Oryctolagus cuniculus: one gene and its partner. The protein of the gene in region 2 purifies or fractionates together with the protein of the main gene of each other region. This does not show direct contact. Links are inferred from orthologs where the notes say so. Each region holds a gene or a part of one and is shown on either strand. Other genes may lie near its edges.

Region 1 (2,370 bases), on a different chromosome or scaffold from region 2:
AAAAAATTTCATTCAAGTGCACTACTATCCTGGTAAAAATTCTTGCAGACATAGGGAAGACATACATAGTCTGTGGTTCTTGTAAAAATGTTTCCTATGGAAATCGTGGATAGCCTCACTGGTCCACAGCTACCATGTGTCACACAATCTAAAAGGTAACCTAAAGCCTTATTAGACAAACTGTCCATGCACATTACACGGATGGGTGATACACTCTACCTCATGGTGGCATGTGCTAGAGCTAATTCCTTAGAGGATTATGTGTCTTGTTCTCTCATGGTGAATGCTGTTCTTCAAAAACGAAAGTCTGAGATGTTCAAATAGAATGCAGTTACTATGTTTTTGATGAAAGATGAGAAAGGATCACTTGAAATTCTAGGTAATGAACCTATACTGTAGCCATCTTCCCCAGAACACTTCTGCCCATAACAAAACTTCGGTTTTATTCCCTAATGATAAGCCTTAATGCATGTTCTGCACTGTATTTGCTGTGACAGCAATGTTGCTACTTCCTTTAGTTTTGATGCCACTACCCTGGTAGAAAGTCATGATGATTTTATCACTTCAAATATAGGGCAATGATCAAGGCAATGGCTGGAAAAAAAACCAAAACACTTTAATTTTTAAGACAACTGCAAGCACCTCAAACAATGGGTTATTGTTACAACACTTGTTAGCTTTTCACAATCTAGTTATTGCAAAGGCATATGGGTAAAAGTTAATGGACAAAGTCAAGAAAAACGAGGCACCTTAAGAATGTAAAATTTAAAATAAAGAGACATTCACTCCACTGACTTCTAAAAGAGGCTAAACATACCTCATATGTTACATTCTAAAATCGTATTGCCTACTATGGTTTGTGTCCTGGATTCTACAACTGATCTTGAGGAAATGCATAGACACTACTGTGTGCAACCTGCAAAGGGAAAATCATGTTCTCCACTCCGTTCATGGAAAGGCAATGAGCAACCGCGTACAGTTTGTTCTAGCCACAGAATGCGCGTGACCACTGTCACCTCCGAGCTGTGAGGAGCGTTCTGCCCACTGCACTGCAAACTCTAAACCCCATACCTCGTGTGCTAGACAAACACGACCAAGCTTTTCGAAAAAACAGAGGCTTCTTTTTTTTTTTTTTTCCATTCCACACACCAAACATGTTTCTCTTGTCCAATTTAATCTATGTATTTAACTTAACAGTGTTTGGAGGAGGCAATACCACATAGTACCCAGTCATCACATTTTTAAAGGGAAATCACCCTTTTCCTTTAAAGGTACTTTTAGAAATATGCAAAAAATACAAATGGGACTGCTAAATCATAATGCATATTTTAGAACGAGAAGCATGTCTTTTCCTTCCTTAAGGTGCCATATGGGGAGTGACACCTTGTAAACCAGAGCCACTTCGTTTCGAGTCCAACATGAACGGACTGTTAGGGAATGAAAAGTCTGCACAGCTCCTCGGAGCAGTAAAATCTGCCGCATGCGGCTCAGGCTGTAAAGCACTCGAGACTTGGAGCTGTTCTGCACTTGAGTCCTCGTCCCACACCTGGTGGGAGTTCACATTCACAGAGCGCATTCACATGCACTATCATACAGGAATGACGTCCCTCTGCCAGAATTAGGTAAAATGGTACATTTCCTTGCTATTTCTTGGTTCCAACTTGATAATGTCTTAAGATTGTAAATTATATAGTACTCAGCTAAAATATTTCTTCATAAATAGTTACAAAACCTGCCAAAACACAAAGGAGAAAGTATTTTTCGTTCAAAAAAATGACATTTGAATGTCACACAACACAAGAAACAATGCTTAGAGACATGTTATTGTTTCCAGAAGAGAGTGGTCAGTGAACTACTTAGCTGAAGACAAAAGACTACCCTTCCCCAGGACCACAGTGCACAGAAAGCAAAATGTCAAACAACAGTACCTCAAAGCAAAATAAAGGTCTGAGGATGAAGCCAGCTCACTTGCAATCCTGTTAAAGAATGAGAGTCCCCGTTTAGGTCCAATGCACTGGAAAACATGTGCTAGCACAGAATGCTGGATTTGTAGAATCTGCTAAGAATTCAACCACGGATGCCGAAGGCATTCGCCAGCAGAGGCTCGCTTCTCTGGAACCATTTCTAGCATGGGGATGAGGAAATCTGTGAACTGCGCAGCGTCTTCGTGGGGCCAGCCATACTTTTCCACAAGGACATCAAACAGGCTCCAGGGCTTCAGCTTGGTGATGTGCCGCAGCTCTCCTAGGGGGAAGAACGGCCAGTGTCAAGAGCGCTCCGATCCTGCACTTCCCACACTTGGTCCAGCCACGGGCTTTTCCGGAAGCAGACAACCTGTCTGCTGGACACTTTCTGATAACAACAAAAAAG
Region 2 (3,661 bases):
ACCTACCCACAATCAAATACCTGGTATAATCCACAAGAGTTGAACTGGACCCTTCGTTTCCAGTTACTTTTCGTCTGACCTTTCCTTTGATTTTTTCCTGTTTCACTTTGCTCGACGTTGACTCCAATTTTTCAGAGGGCTCTTTTGTATTAGATGTATTTTCTGCACTTCCAATTTTTTTCCCAGTTTCTCTGTTGAGCTTGATTTTTTTGGCTGGAGCTGTTGATGAAACTTTGTCCTTTTCAGGGGTCCTGTCCATTTTTTCAATATCAGGTTCCAGTTTGCGCTTTGGTGATGGTTTCACTATTTCAGTTACTTCTAGTTTAGAGATTTTCACTGAAAAACACTCAAAATCCTTATCTACACCTTTTTCCTCTGTTTTCCTTTTTCTTTTTTCTCCCTTGCTATCAAGCAGTTTATTTTTCTCACTAGGCTTTTTGGCCTTTTCTTCCTTATTAGTTAGCTTTTCTGATTTGACATCTTTGGAATAGTCCTTCTTCACTTTTTCCTCTTTGACTGATTTTGTCTCTTGGTGTTCTTTTGCAGATTTAGAGTGAGCTTTTCTGGGTGTACCAATGACCTTTTCATCTTTCTGAGATGATGATGATGATTTCGCAACGTCAGTCTTTGGGGTCTCCTCTTTGGCTTTTTTAAGTGGAGGTTCAGGTCGAGGAGATTTTTCACGCTCTCCATCTAGTTTTTCTTGAGGTCCTTTAGAAGGCTTTACAACATTTTCTTTTTTAGATACAGCAGATCCATCGTTTTTCCGTTTGGTCTTGTCACCTTTTGCTTTCGGTTTATCTTTCTCTCTCTTTTCTTTCTCAGAAACTGACTTAAAAGTGATAGATTCTGCATCCATTGGTTCATCTCTAACAGGTGTAGCATCATCTCTACTTGGGAGAACAAACAACGAGTCCGTTTTATTTTCTTCAACACCTGTAGGTTCTCTTGATTTCCTAGAAGTCTCTAATAACTCTGGGTTCAGAAAGCCTTCACTTTCTTCCCCTTTTCTTCTTTTTCTGTGTTTCTTATGCTTATTTCCTTTACCATCCCCTGCAGCATTTTCACTCTCCTTTTCTTTCGACTTTGTATTGTCCTTCTGATTGTGACTGTCTCTTGTTGAAAGTTTTTCTGGATAGCTGCCACCTATATTTCGACTTCTATGACTTTGTCCACCAACATAATCTTCTCTGCGGCCTCTAGTGAAGGGGGAATTCCTGACATTAAGTGGTAAAAATCTCTCTGGAGAAAAGTTCTCTCTGTTTGCTGAGGGCCTAGGCTGTGCTCCAGCAGCATAACCTTTATAATATTTTTCGTACCACTCTCTGTATTTTCTCTCCCATTCTCGGTAACGGTCTTTTTCAAATGGGTCTCTAAAGTCAATATTCCTCCCATAATAAGCTTTTATGTCATAAGGTGGTGGTACTTCTCTGTACCTATTAAAATATTCACGTTCTGTCTCCCCTTGAGGTACAGCACGCTTACTGGGAGACTGTCCCCTAAATGCCTGAGGAGATCTTGATCGTGAATGATAGCGTCTGTATGGGGGTGATCTTGACCTAGATCGATGATATCCATGAGATCTAGATCGTGAACGGTAATTTCGACTCTTCCCTCTCCCTCTTCTGGGGTATGGAGGTGATCGTGAATAGGAGCGAGAATGTGAACGGCTGAATGACCGAGAATAAGAGCGTGAACGTGTTGAACCCGATCTTGATTTAGAGTAAGTATATGAACTTCTTGAATACGATGAACCACTATAGGGCGATTTAGACCTAGAAACAAAAACAAAACAACAGTTGATAGTTGAGAAATATATCAAAATAAAATACAGATTCTCAGATTCTAGTATTCTCTCCTCACGGTTTGATTTTTTTTCTTTATATCAAGTTTCATCTCAGATGATTTAAGAGGCACAGTGACCTCTATTTGGATGGAATAAAATACACAAAATCAGAGCAATCACTTGTTACAAAACAAAAGTGAAGTCTTAACAATTAGGAGTGGAGTGCATTAATGTACCGTGAGTTATATGAGCCAATTAACATTAAACAAAATGCCAATTAAATTTTACTTCCTATCTGATTATTTAATAGGAGTCCAATTTTTGTCCTACACTGGCCAATAGTCTAGCTTTACAAAAAAAAAACCACGCCTCAAGTGTAAGTTGAAAAAAATAAAAAAATTTTAAACAAACTTCCAGGGAATGTTTATAGTTCATTTTCTATCAATAAAGCAATTTGTATTGTACTACTACTTTATAATTACACAGGTTAATGTTCCAGCAAGAAGCTGTAGCCTTATGGTGAAAGGGTGCTCAGAAATGTTTTTAAAGACTATTCCCCTATTTCTTTCCTTCCATAACCATTTCCCAATTACTTCACATTATAAATAACTTCAAGGGACATGGGCAATTTAATCCCCATAACTGCTAGTTCTACCACAATAAAATTTACACTGAGACATTATTTCAATAAACAGATATTGGGAAATAAGCTACATCTCCATTTCTATAAACCTAGACCGAATCAGAAAAATTTCATAAGTGCAATGCTATTATATCCATAGCTAATCCCTGGATATTCAAGTCCCATTTGTAATTCTGTTGTGAAGGCTTGCAAAACACTAACCTGGAAAATGAGCGCCTACGCTCCTTTTGAATCTTTTTGTATTCCATCAATTCCTTAGCAAAATCATTTGTAAACTCATCTAGCTTGGACTTTTTCTTTTCCCTAGTAAAATAAAGTTAAAGAGTGAAAGTTAACAAAAACCATTTAAGAAAACTAACAAGACAAATGTAATTAGATCATGAATGAAATGAATGAAATTGCCATTAGTTTTCCACTTTAAAACTACAAATAACTAGGAATCCCTGAGGAAGTTGCTTGTATGGCTTTGGTTTAAATTTTAGGTGAATTTTCTTGTACTAACTGGAAAACACTGTAAAATGTTTCCAAACATACCTATTTAATGTTATATCAGAAAATGAAAGAAGTGTCTAGTAATTCAAATTAAAATGCTTACTCTTCTTTCAGTCGTCGCTGCTCTCTATAGAATTCTTCCCTGGACAGCGGTGGTGCTTGTGTTGTTGGGATGGTATTTGAATGAGCTGTCTGCACTCCTGATGATACCCAAGGTGTTGATAAATTGGCAGGAGCAGGAGGAAACCCTGGCGGAGGGACACTATACCCAGCAGGTGGTGGCTGGCCAGGAGGAAACTGAGGAGAGAACTGTGGAGGAGGAACACCTGGAGGGAGAGGAAGTGTATGGGGAGGAGGTGGATACAGAGGAGGTGGAGGAACAGGCACAAAGACTGGCGTTGCTGGAAGCGATGGGCCTTGGGTCCTCTGTGATCTCTCGCTGTGGTGTCGCCCTCGGTTTATACTTCTGGAGAAATAAATTCCAAAGTATTATTCCTTCCAATTCAAGTCATCTGAGACAATCAAATGTGTCTTCTACCCACAATTATTTTCAAACTTACAAATAGCAGAAGAGAATCAACCAGTATAAAATACTGATGCCATTCATTTGTAAAAGTAATTCTATAACAAAATCATGATTTTTAAGGACACTTAGGGAATGAGATAATATGTTTATAAGACCATGGAGACACTGTATTTAAAAGCTATCTTTTGTAAACTTCAGATTGATCATCATGCCA

The links. The genes of interacting proteins can lie anywhere in the genome.
Region 1: the proteins of RBBP6 (region 2) and SRPK2 purify together in Homo sapiens (affinity purification with mass spectrometry; 4 studies listed by BioGRID and IntAct, with this or other methods). This does not show direct contact. The link is inferred for Oryctolagus cuniculus from reciprocal best matches to the Homo sapiens genes RBBP6 and SRPK2.

Annotation. Positions count from the first base shown.
Region 1 is NC_091434.1:139,341,690-139,344,059, reverse strand, and holds the end of SRPK2 (SRSF protein kinase 2), read right to left. Parts: intron 2,245-2,370; coding exon 2,060-2,244; 3' UTR 596-2,059; downstream 1-595. UniProt on the Homo sapiens protein: Serine/arginine-rich protein-specific kinase which specifically phosphorylates its substrates at serine residues located in regions rich in arginine/serine dipeptides, known as RS domains and is involved in the phosphorylation of SR splicing factors and the regulation of splicing.
Region 2 is NC_091450.1:14,870,813-14,874,473, forward strand, and holds part of RBBP6 (E3 ubiquitin-protein ligase RBBP6), read right to left. Parts: intron 3,388-3,661; coding exon 3,025-3,387; intron 2,733-3,024; coding exon 2,631-2,732; intron 1,776-2,630; coding exon 21-1,775; intron 1-20. UniProt on the Homo sapiens protein: E3 ubiquitin-protein ligase which promotes ubiquitination of YBX1, leading to its degradation by the proteasome.